2 linked regions of the Neodiprion lecontei genome follow. The protein of the gene in region 1 purifies or fractionates together with the protein of each later gene. This does not show direct contact. Links are inferred from orthologs where the notes say so. Each region holds a gene or a part of one and is shown in the gene's direction. Other genes may lie near its edges.

What was found. Proteins that work in one complex are often made in the same cells at the same time.
Region 2: the proteins of serine/threonine-protein kinase polo (region 1) and protein mahjong purify together in Homo sapiens (affinity purification with mass spectrometry; 3 studies listed by BioGRID and IntAct, with this or other methods). This does not show direct contact. The link is inferred for Neodiprion lecontei from reciprocal best matches to the Homo sapiens genes PLK1 and DCAF1.

The regions. Positions count from the first base shown.
Region 1 is NC_060263.1:23,620,030-23,628,010, forward strand, and holds serine/threonine-protein kinase polo, read left to right. Parts: upstream 1-1,889; 5' UTR 1,890-2,040; coding exon 2,041-2,133; intron 2,134-3,094; coding exon 3,095-3,319; intron 3,320-3,529; coding exon 3,530-3,747; intron 3,748-3,994; coding exon 3,995-4,290; intron 4,291-4,463; coding exon 4,464-4,757; intron 4,758-6,246; coding exon 6,247-6,647; intron 6,648-6,787; coding exon 6,788-6,985; 3' UTR 6,986-7,565; downstream 7,566-7,981. UniProt on the Homo sapiens protein: Serine/threonine-protein kinase that performs several important functions throughout M phase of the cell cycle, including the regulation of centrosome maturation and spindle assembly, the removal of cohesins from chromosome arms, the inactivation of anaphase-promoting complex/cyclosome (APC/C) inhibitors, and the regulation of mitotic exit and cytokinesis.
Region 2 is NC_060260.1:28,673,279-28,677,970, forward strand, and holds the start of protein mahjong, read left to right. Parts: upstream 1-1,626; 5' UTR 1,627-1,641; coding exon 1,642-1,715; exon of another isoform or gene 1,716-1,845; intron 1,846-2,091; exon of another isoform or gene 2,092-2,234; coding exon of another isoform or gene 2,235-2,260; intron 2,261-2,423; coding exon 2,424-2,694; intron 2,695-2,930; coding exon 2,931-4,319; intron 4,320-4,589; coding exon 4,590-4,692. UniProt on the Homo sapiens protein: Acts both as a substrate recognition component of E3 ubiquitin-protein ligase complexes and as an atypical serine/threonine-protein kinase, playing key roles in various processes such as cell cycle, telomerase regulation and histone modification.

The DNA.
Region 1 (7,981 bases):
GTTTGTTAAAAAATGGATGCAATATATTATTCCAATAAAAAACTCTTCACATTATTTTTCATCTGCGGTATGATAACATTTTTTGTCTGAAAATAGAACTGCCATAATATGAATTTCCACCCTTGAGAGGCAATAATGGTTGATTAAATGAATATAAGGTGACAAGAACTTATAGTGGTCTCATGAAGAATCATTGATATTTAGGGTTTCGATTTGATCTTCAAACAATCAGTCCCCATCATCTCGCGAATAAATACAGTAAATATTTTCCGAAGTTTGATATCGTGTGAAACCTTTACGAAATTATTAATATACTTGTACTAGGTGAAATTCTGATTTTCAATTCAGTGTTTAAAAAACTTTAAGGGGGTGGTTTACTTGATTACGACGTTCTTGTATAAATTTCCAAATACCGAAATCACGTATCTCAAGCGCGAAAGAAGGGCCCAACAGCCCCATTTTATACGCAATTCTGAACAAACACACTCCGATATAATTTCATTTGACGCAGAAATAAAGAAATGGTATGGATTCTAAGAAATCGCAATAGTAAATTCGTAGAATTCATGCCATTTCTTTATTTCTGCATTAATTGAAAATGTATTGTATCGTTTTTGTTCAGCATTTTACCTTCTTCACGTTTGAGATATGCGGACTTTGATATTTGGAGATACATTCGCCAATGTCGAAATCGACCAGGGTACCCGCTTAAGGTACTGTACTCAACATTTTATTGGTCCCGTCAATTCGACGATATAATACACGATTGGGTAAATATCTAGCGTTTTGCGATTTAGGTGCATATATGACAACCGCTAAGAACGCGTGATGATGCGGGTAATTATACATTTTTAATATCTAACTAAAACGGTCGGTTCCGTTAGTTTCGTGTTGCGTGGCACATTTTTGCCAGTAGTGTGCTTAGGTCCGAATTTATTGGCCAATCAGATTCAACCTGTATCGTCTTTTAGTCCTTTAAAGGAAATAATAGTAAAGAAATACAAAAGGGATTTTTTACGATATTTATTTTTTTCCGATATGAAGCATACAAAAATGTTACGTGTGGAACGTGAAAGTAAGTGAATATTCGGACAACTATAGTATTGAGTATTCAGAACGGCCAAGCATCCAAGACTATAGTTGTAAAAACGATCGAACTGCTGTTTGATTAGAAATTAGGATTTACACGATATTGTTTTTACTACAATAAATCCCTGATTTGAATGTTTTGACCGGTATTTTGTGTTTTTTTTTTTTTGTTAGTCTTTACCAGCAAATTGATATGTGGTCTTCTATGTCATACATCATACGATGTCTGGTCATTTATTCCTCCAGGTATGAGTGTATCAAATTTGAGTAATATTATTTGGATTAGAAAATCTGAATACATCCCACAATAATGCCCATAAAGTCGACACCAGCACAAAGATTGGCAAATTTCTGTGAAGCACGAAATATTTTTTCTCGATATGAAGCGGTCTTAACATCAATGAAACTTATAGGATATATCAATTATATCACCTCACATACCGTGTAAAATTTTCAATAAAAATCACGAAAATTGGGTTTCCCTAATTTTCGAAAAACGAACGTCGTTTCGTCAGTTTTCGAAAATCTTGAACTTTCTCTGCATATTTCAAAAGAGTGCAAGAAACTCTACAAAATTTGACCAAGATCTTGGGATATGTTCCGATATACACTAAGAGCACTGTTCAGTGCTCTTACTGATCAAGTTTAATTAATGCTCATCGAAAAATACTGTACAGGCTGCCCATGGGTAAAGCCTCGATGGCGAAGCGTACCAACAACAGAAAATTCGGATGTCACGTGACAAGTGGGACGTACGCTATTGGCTGGAACATCTGGATTCAAACATTAGAATCCGTTGCCCGTTCAACACGAAACAGCAGCCAGTTGAGGGCGAGTAACCAAGAGAAGCGGCCTTCGGTGTTACTACGTGTCTTATAACTGTGATTTTAACCGATTTCTAAGTTTTATACCTATACTGGACTGTGGCTCGAATTACCCGGAACAACAAAGATGTCTAAACATGACAAAGACAACGTTATTCCCGATATAATCCACGATGGAAATACGGGAAAGAGCTATATTAAGGGTCGTTTCTTCGGAAAGGTGAGTCTCCTCGAATATTAATCAACGTGTTGTCTCTCTTGCATCCTTCCCATGCCGAAAAATAGCAAAATCCTCGATCGCCGGCTTTGAGGGCGAAGCCAAAGATGAGTCAATCCTAAAGCCATTTCAACTTTCTGGGAATCAGTAGATTGAAGGCGAATTGATCAAACAATCAGATTCTGACACAAACACATTAATTCCTTCGAACAGTATTGCGGGACAACTGATTTATCGTTATTACTCTCTTCTTTTCCGATTAATCATTCTTCTCTGTATTACACATCAATCTAAATCTTTCGTTCATGTTTTCTTTATTCCTTACAACTAATTACACTACGTTTTGCATGCAGTGTCAATAGTCCTGATTCGGGCTTCTGCAAGGTCAAATTTTTGAACACTGCCACCATCAAGCCCATTGTTGAATTTCTGTTGTGCCCGGAAATATATGCTCTGAGAAATTGATGTTATTACTGGTGGATTAAGTCCAAAACGTCATTTGTCATACAGCTTTCAGCCTTTCACCTAGATATATCCAAACACTTGTTGCTCTTAGCCTTGTAATGTTTTTCAAAAAAACATTGCTTTATTCAAAACCCCATCAAGCATTACATTAGCAGTAACTTACCATTCGAAATTTATTTGCTAATTTCACATAACATGCCCGCAAATGTCAGATAGAATTATTATTTGCCCAAAAGATATCTTTTAACAATAAAGTAGAGCGTATTAGTTACCTCGTGAATTCTGATATACCTTCAGTTCTAGGCTTCCTAATAATTTCATTTAAGCAAAACAGAATTTAGTGAAACAACTTTGTATCAGCTAATATTTTAAGGAATCATTTGATTGATAAAATATTGTTTAAGATGAATCTTATGAATGAAAATTTTATATTTTATAATGAGGAATGATCACAAAAAATATGTTGTGGCGAATCTGTACTATGTTATATTTTTTCTAGGGTGGATTTGCAAAATGTTACGAGATCAAGGAATCGAAGTCTCATCATGTATTTGCTGGAAAAATTGTACCCAAATCAATACTGACAAAAGTCAATCAGCGTGACAAAATGACGCAGGAAATACATATTCATCAAAGTCTCACACACAGACATATCGTCGGGTTTCATGGATTCTTTGAAGATATCCAAAATATTTATATCATATTGGAACTTTGTCGTAAAAGGGTAAAGATTTCACATCAACCTTTTATATTTTATGCATCTTTTCAGAGAAAGCCATATTACTTTTTCAAATGTAAGGAATATACGTTTCATTCATGTAAGATTTCTAATCACCATTTTCTTGTTTGCACAATATCAGACACACTTTCCTCCAGTATACAAATTGGAATACCATGGCGATATATATCTGATTCGTTATATTTATTCTTTCAGTCAATGATGGAGTTGCACAAAAGAAGGAAAGCTCTGACAGAGTGTGAAACACGCTATTACATGAAACAGATCTTGGATGGTGTCGCCTATCTGCACAAGAATAAAATAATACATCGAGATCTGAAACTAGGGAACCTTTTCCTAGACGACGAATTACAAGTAAAAATAGGTGACTTCGGATTAGCTACAAAACTAGAACATGATGGAGAAAGGAAAAAGTAATCTCCTTATTCAATTATTATTATACGTTTATGGGGATCAAGTTTGTAATGTTAACATGGTGATAATTGAAAAATTCATTTCTTTCATTCCTAAAGTTCCAAAATAGGTACTTAAGAAAAACCTTTGTTATGTTAATGTTATCCACTTCAAGCTTTATTTAGAGACATAATTGATCTAAAACTTATTCCAAGTAGCTGGTCTTCGAATGTTAATAAACTACTTTGATTTAATTTCGGAAAATAGAACTTTGTGCGGAACTCCAAATTACATAGCTCCAGAAATTCTGATGAAATCTGGGCATTCCTATGAAGTTGACATCTGGAGTATCGGATGTATAATGTACACTCTTCTTGTGGGAAAACCACCTTTCGAAACATCAAGCCTCAGGGAAACATATGCTAGGATAAAACAAGTGCAATACAAAACTCCAGCTTTTCTGAGCAAAGCTGCAATGAATATGATTGCCAACATGCTTCAAGGGAATCCCACTAAACGGCCCAGTGTTAACAAACTGATCAAAGATGTATTCTTCACATCTGGTATTAAATATTTACTTTCTCAGGTTAAAATTCATAAATTAGAAGCATAAACAGCTGCTTCGTACAGAAATAACCAATTTCTTAAAAGTGAATGGTACCGTACGATTTAAGTGTACAAATGAGTTGTCTGAAAGTCAAGAAATTAAATTCGTTATTATTTACCAAATTCATAGGATTCTTGCCAACAAGTCTTCCAATATCTTGCCTCACAATGGCACCTCGTATGGATGCATTGGAAATGCACAATCAGCGTAAGCCGTTAACTGAAATGAATGGAAATGGATGTGGAGATATAAATGATGTCCTATTCAGAGTTCCGCAAAGTCCTGCTCTCAAGGGTAAAGGTATCGAAATGAGTGAAGAAAAAAAATTGGGTCTCGATATAAAGAAGATGTTACTCACACTAAAAGAACAATTAGCAACTGTACTCAAAACTAAGCCTGCCGTGGACCTCATCGCTTTTGGAGGTACATAGACATATATGACGCCACACGAAAAGTAGTAAATTCACATACTATTCCAGCCACAAATATTACACTACTAACAACCAGTTTTAATTTCACTAATTGATACTGTATATTTCCAATACAGAACGGCCAAGATCCTATCAGATTACCCTGGAAACATCAGGCATGGTTCTTCCAATCCGTGTATAATATTAATATACAATGTGTTTTTGTTCAGTAATCAATGCTTCTATTGCTGCAAATTGAGGACCTATAACAGGGTGGCGACAGACTAAGAAATCCAGGAATAGTCAGGAAATTTCGTCTATCCGGAAAAGTCGTCTATCGGGAAAAGTCAGGGAATTATGATGGATTGTAGGGAAAAAACATACTTTTTTTTTATAATTCGTTTTCAGTCTTCAGCTATGCTTCGTAAATTCAGTTAATCTAACTTTCAGAAATGGTATTGTTTAATCTCTAATTATTTTGTGTGAAACAAAGCAATACTATTTGTTTTTTAGATCCAAATTTATATATTCAAGGTGCGCAATTTCGCGAGATTTTGGTCATAAAAGCTGCCCAATATTACTTAAGTTTTGTGGGAAAACTTCAAAGAATTCTGAATTTTCTGATGGGAAAAGTCAGAGAGTTTTATTTGAGCAAAATTGTCGCCACCCTATTATATCTACTTATTTCCAATATTTAAGACTACAATCATTACAACTGAATTGTTTTACTTTGAAACAGGTCACCAACATTCTAAGTAAAAATAATCAGTGAAAATTGTCCTGGTCAATCATCAAATTTTCGTAGCATGACTAGAAACTTTGCTCGTTTGAATTACCTTTATTCATTTTTAATCAACATATATCTGAAATTCATGCAGAAGTATCTCTATTACAGCAGATTGTTGAGTGTATCTGACTTTTTGATTGAAAACAAAGTAGATGTACATGTAAATTATTTTCACAAAACATCACCATACTTGTTATCTGGAATTGCTTTATTTGAGTCTGTATAAATACTTTGACTCTTATTTATTACCTGTTCTATTATCAACCAGTGATAAAAATGTTGGTCAGTTAAATGCATGACAGTAACAATATTGATGTGCACTGTTTCCCTGTGAATGAATTGCTGTTAACAGAGAAATTATTTGATACAATTGTGTATTCTTTCTGTCAATACCTATTTAAGGTGAACAAAATTCCATTGCTCTTGAACTTATTGCTGTTGTACTATAAGCAGTCTCTCTCTTAAGGTTCACACCTACTAAATTTGACGTATTTAGAGTGCATTTCGCCTTATTTTGGTGTTTTCTGAAGTTGAATGAGTAACTTTTCAACGTGAAATTTTTTTTTCGTCGTCATCGATGGTTCAACAACTCATCTCTGTCTTCCATTGTTAAGCACACATTGTATATTGATGTGTACGATACTAGATTTTTCAACGTGAACTCCAATGACGTGGTGTTTTTTTCTTTGTTCCTTTCTTTCTTCAACTACTTTAGATGAGATGACAGATCCAGATGCACAACCATTTGTTTGGATCAGTAAATGGGTGGACTACTCAGACAAATATGGTTTTGGATACCAATTATCTGACGAAGGAGTTGGTGTGATGTACAACGACGGAACACGTCTGATAATGCTTGCGAACGGTTTCAATGTTCATTACATAAATCGTGAAGGATCAGAAGAATACCATACAGTTAAGGACTATCCGGGTCACCTGGACAAGAAGATGAAGCTGTTGAACTATTTTCAACGTTACATGAATGAACATCTAATGAAAGCTGGGGGATCGGTGGCTGTTAAGCAAAGTGATTCAATGTCCAGGATTCCCTACATGCATCAGTGGTTTAGAACGCAAAGTGCTGTAGTTATGCAGCTGACTAATGGATCTGTACAAGTAATTATAACTCGCACAGTTTTTCTTTTTCATCTCTGACATCCATCTGTTTGTACAATGTGAAAAAATTGTGAAGTTCGTATGAACATTGTGACTGGCCAGTGTTGCATAAATATATATGTCAACTACTTTTTTTTCAGATAAACTTCTTAGACCACACCAAGATCATAATGTGTCCTTTGATGGCTGCCGTCACATACATTGATAGTGAGAAAAACTTCCGAACTTTCAGATTCCAAACGATTCAACAACATGGTTGCACTTCTGGACTAGCAAAGAACTTAGCTTACGCCCATGAAAAAGTTGGTTTTATGCTGGTTACTCCGCAATCACGATAGTTTCATAACTCAATCTAGTACTGATTAAAATAATTAAGCTAATGATTAACCATATTATCATCCAACGGACGAGTAAGCGACGCCACATTCAATGCAAGAAATTTTAATGTCTCTCAACTTTTTTGAAGACACTTTTTATAATTACTGCTAGCTAGGTATCCAGACAGCCTGTTGTTAATTTTAATTATGTATTATTTTTTATGGATAGGTCTATAGTATTTTTCTATAAGCTTTTTTTTATGTGTCGAAAAGTGAGAAAAGTAGTAGGTAGAAGTTGATAAAAAGAAAAACCAAGAAAGTGGAAGAAACTTTTGTGATCATTGAATGATATTTCTAAGCACAAAACGAATAACTATTGAACTTTTAAGTGCGGATGAAATTAATTATATGTGATCCCACCTTAATAAGATATATACGTACACATCATGCATTTTCAAAGCTGGAACTTAATATGATTGTGCTTTCTGAGGACACAGAATACTGGCACTTAGTAAGGTCATTTATTTCAAAAGTACAATAAGCGTGCTACCTCAGATTATTATTTAAATTTTAACAAGTTCAAGCAGGCCAACATTTCTGTTCCAAGGATTCGAAAAAGGGGGTTCTATAATAATTATAAATTAAGAGTTGGAAGAAAATGAAGGACTATTACAATAGATCAGTATCTGTACGTTATCCTTGTAAGGTATCTCAATTGACTTGTTTAAATTTAAGCAACTGTACATACGTAGTGGTTAATTACGTCTTAAAAGGAGTACGATGAATACAAATACTAATCTTCAGAAACAAAAAGCTTCAATATTTCTAATTACGGAGATGAAAATTTTCACTACTACTTTATATTTTTATACATAAATGATTGCGCAGACCCCCCAAATCAATGTCGGAGTATAATTGTACAAAATAAACTGCCTGCACATGTACATTTTTCATCCATTAAAGAACTTATTCATGTAAATGTATTCGGTTTTTTTTCTTGTTTAAACATTTTAATTG
Region 2 (4,692 bases), on another chromosome or scaffold:
TTTTATTATAATATAGAATAATGTTTTGTACTTTCAAAAATTTGAGTTCAATTTTGTAACATAACTCGTTTTCAAAATAAAATATGTAAGGAATATCCATTTCGAAACAAATCTCAATTATTCTCAATCACTTAGTTCCTCTTCATCACTAAAGTAATTATTTTTTTTAAAACGTTTTTTAGGTTTCGAAGATTCCTGTCTTGGCTCTTCGTACTGGCCAGTTGCAACTTGGAACCTATACTTTGCAAGTTCCTCTTGTTCTTGCTGAAATAAAATGATCAAATAAGAATCTAAAAAGTGCATTTAAGATTAAAAACTTTCCAAATGACACAATTTCCTACCTCGTGATGTATAGCAGCACTCAAAGTTTCTAAATCTGATTCAGCCACTGCATTGTCATATATTGTCTCAGAGTCCCCAACACCACCTGGTTCTCTCAAGCCTTCGTCACTGTCACTATCATAATATGAGGTATCGCCTTTTGCTTGATCTTTATTTTTTTTTCTAATTCTGATTTTTTTTGGTGGAGGTTCTCTGGGGCCCAAAGTATTTTGAGAGCATTGGTACGACAGATGCCCTTCTTCACCACACTCGTAACACTGAGATTTGTCTGGATAATCCTTTCGTCGAATGAATTCAGTACTGCGTCCATTATCCACGGCTATGGAGCTTTTCACAGTACGGCCACCAATCTGAGAATAGAAAATTTTCTTCATTTTGTGTGAGATGTATATTCATTATTAAAATAAGTTATGATAGTAAGACAAACATATGATATTGATATATATTTTACCTCAGTATTATTTAGAGTCTTTGCACAAGTAATGGCATCTTCACGTGTGAGAAATAAGACGAATGCAACACCCTTGCTGCGTCTAGTCATCTTGTCTTTCAACACAGTAACTCTGCAATTCATAAAATCACATTTTAATCAACTGTTTAAGTTAGCTACAATTATAGATTCAATACATTAGATAAGATATTATATATGTTTCTCTGGGTAAAGATAAAAGAGAAAAGTGAATGCGTGTATGGTAATTACGAAATACTGAAATTCCAAAAGTTTATTAAATAGTTAACAAGTTGCATCATTAATTTTCGAAGTGATCACTCACTTGACGATCTTTCCGTACGTTTCGAGAAGCTTGTGTATGTCATTATTAGTCAGAGAAAAGGGCAAGTTAGAAACGTAAACCGTTGATTTACTCGGAGCAACACCTCCGCTCATCGCTCTGAATTATTGTTTCGTATGAACCGTATGAACACAGTGTAAATTTGAAATATACACGGTGTAGGTTATGTTCTTGTCGCATATTTTACGGTTATGTTTCACTTTGACGCAGAAGCATAATTTTAAATTTGTTCATTCACGATTCGTCGATATAGATCACGTGGATGTCGTTCTTTGTTCTCATTGGCGTAGGAGCTCTGCCAGGTCAAGTCTTGGGGCGCGAAATGTCAAAAAAAAATTCCAAAAATTGAATAATTGATGACAAATATTTTGGTTTTTCGAGTTTGATATCGCCCAGTGACCATTTTCCCTGAAAAACCTAACATAAGTGACGATAGCTGGTCATCCCGACATTACCTACAAACACATTGATCTGAATTTGACCTTTCGCACGCAAACGAATCGTGTGCATGAATCATAAATTTGGCCATGTGCAGACCGCGTTCGGCAGTCGAAGCTTGTGTCGGTGGCGACAGTCTTGTATGTGCGTTTTAACAAAATATTTTGGGCAATTAGAAGGGATATAGGTTGTTTGCTATCGAAAAACGTTGATTAAACTTTCTTGGTAATTTAACATCAATAAGGTACAATTTTGAAAGCTGTCATAGTCGTTGGTACTTGAAAAACTTGTTGTTTTAACCTAACCTAACCTATACATCTGGTAACATTTCTGTACAAGATTTAAGAGGCACAGATATGTCAAGCAGTTGTTGTATCACTCCCTTTAATAAATAGGAGTTACATTTTGCGATACCTGTAATATGTCTAGTATAGTTAATAATTTTATTACGCTTTGATAGATCATACTTTAATCTCGGAATTCTGTTATTTAAGGTTAGAGTCTTCGGTGTTATGTTCGTTTTTTCGAGTTGTGGAACCTTCCGTTACAAAACTGTACACTTTTGCAAATTAAGTACATGGCTTATCCTTTGCTTAAAATTAACGAGTCGTATTCATTATTAGCAGATTCTTCAAAGACCTTATTCCAAAATCAAAAATAAACATGGCTCAGCAAAATTGTGTTAAAAGGTTGCATTTGAATAACTATTTACAAATATCAATTATTTCCTGGTTTGTAATTCCAATGAATTTTATTCATTTGAAAGTCTCAATGGCTCATATGAGTACAAGGTAATTTTTCATGATTCAGACAATTCTGCTTTAATTTTTCCTTGTATCTTTACTTTGATAGAACAAAAGTCATGGCGACAGTAGAATCACTTGCGGAAGTAACAGATGTTGTTCAAATTCTGCGTCAGTGGGAAGAAGACCATGTTTCACCGACGTATGATCCAATACCAACATTGCAACGTTTGGCTGAAATTATAGAAATAGAGACAGAAAATTACTTAAAAATGGATCCAGATCCATTTGACGAAAGGCACCCTTCACGCACTGATCCAGAATGTAATTTTGGACATATTTTGAAAGTTTTGTTTAGAAAGGACAACTTCATGACAAAGGTAGTACCTTGTTCCATATTTATTGTGTAATTTTTTGAAACAAATGATAACAGCATTGAAACCATATCAAATCTAATAATTTCTTACATCCAATGTGAGTAATGAAATCAGGGACAAAACAAACTTGTCTGTCTCAAACATCAGCTTTGAACAATTGTTGAGTCTTTATCCGAAACATATTTTCGATCTGTCATTTGACTATTTGGAAAAATTCAATTCAATGATTTGTGTTACAGCTGATAAATGATTATCTAAGAGACACGTACTGGACACGGTCAGGTATTAACGGTCGTGATGTGCGAAAGTTGAATATTGCAGCCTGCCGTTTGATGTTGGACATATTGCCAGGCCTAGAAACATCAGCAGTGTTTCAACCCGATATGGATGGGCTTATCCATAGGCTTTTTTCGTGGGCTGAAAAAAGCATAGAGCCTTTACAAAGTTATGCCACCGGTTTGTTAGCTGCTGCAATGGAAGTTCAAGACATTGCTACAGGATTTAGAGAACAGAATGGTAAAATGGTGCCTTTGATGCTGCAAAGATTACACAAGCTACAAGAAAAAGCTTTGGAAAATCGTCATGCAGCAGTTAACACAAGACCATTTGCACATTTTGGTCAGAATAGAAATAGCCTGGGTGATACTGAACACAAAGGTACTCCTGGAAAACGGAAAGTGAGAGAGAAGAAACATGAAAATGGAACAATGAAAAGCCCTACGCACTCAATTTTTTGCTCAGATGAAGAAGACTCGATTCAAAGTTCGGACGAAATGCCACCAAGCAAAAAACTCAAGTCTCAAAATAACATGGAAAATGCTGTTTTAACACCTGTTAAATCTAACGATAACACCAGAGATTCATACCCCGAGATTATGTCCCCACCGTTATCTATTCCTCGTATAACTACCTATACAACTTTACAAGTTACACCAGCGAAGAATCAAAACACTCGTGTAACACCACCAAGACCTGTCAACATATTGGCATCTGGTAGATCTAATTTGTCTAAACCTCAGACTCAAGTAATCAACCCGCCTTCCTTGCTTCTAGAAGGTAATTCGAATTCGTCCTGGGCTGAAATGGAGTCTTACGTTATTGGCAATGTTCAAATACATCCGCCCACTTTGGCTACTCGTCAGATGCTGATTTTAAGGTACCTCACACCAATGGGAGAATACCAAGAATTTCTTGGGCACGTATTCGAGCAAAACGCTTTGGAATTGATATTAAACTACATAAATGTACGGGAAACAAAGGATAGTCGCTTAGCTTTTGAAGCTTTAAAATACTTAGCATCTTTACTGTGTCATAAAAAATTTTCTATCGAGTTCCTAAGTATGGGTGGATTACAAAAACTCTTAGATGTACCAAGACCCAGTGTCGCGGCAACTGGTGTTTCTATTTGTTTGTATTATCTTGCATACTGTGAGGATGCTATGGAAAGAGTTTGTCTCTTACCGAAACATATAATAACCGATTTAGTGAAATATGCATTGTGGTTACTGGAGAGAAGTCACGATTCTGGTAGATGTCATGCAACAATGTTCTTTGGATTTTCATTTCCTTTCAAAGTTATTCTGGAAGAATTTGATCTCCAAGATGGACTTAGGAAATTATACAATGTTGTGAGTATATGAACTTAATATCAAACTGCAGTGTTTTGCGAGACATAATAAAGTCATTATACACAAACCACCATTTTGAACGAGAAAAAAATGACAGTTTAATTCCAAAACTAGAACAATCAGTAATTTCATTCATTTCTGTGATTGTGAAAATGTATGTCGCATTAATTTGGGGTTTGCAATGTGAGAATACTATATTGCATTTGCTAAATCTTATTATTATTATTATCATCATTATTTTTGAGACATGTATTTCCTGATTTACATTAGATATCTACATTACCCATTCTAAACATTGATGATGACCCGGCTTTGAATGATGATGAAGAATGTGCGTCAAGACAAATAGTAAGACATGTTGCTGTAGCACTGA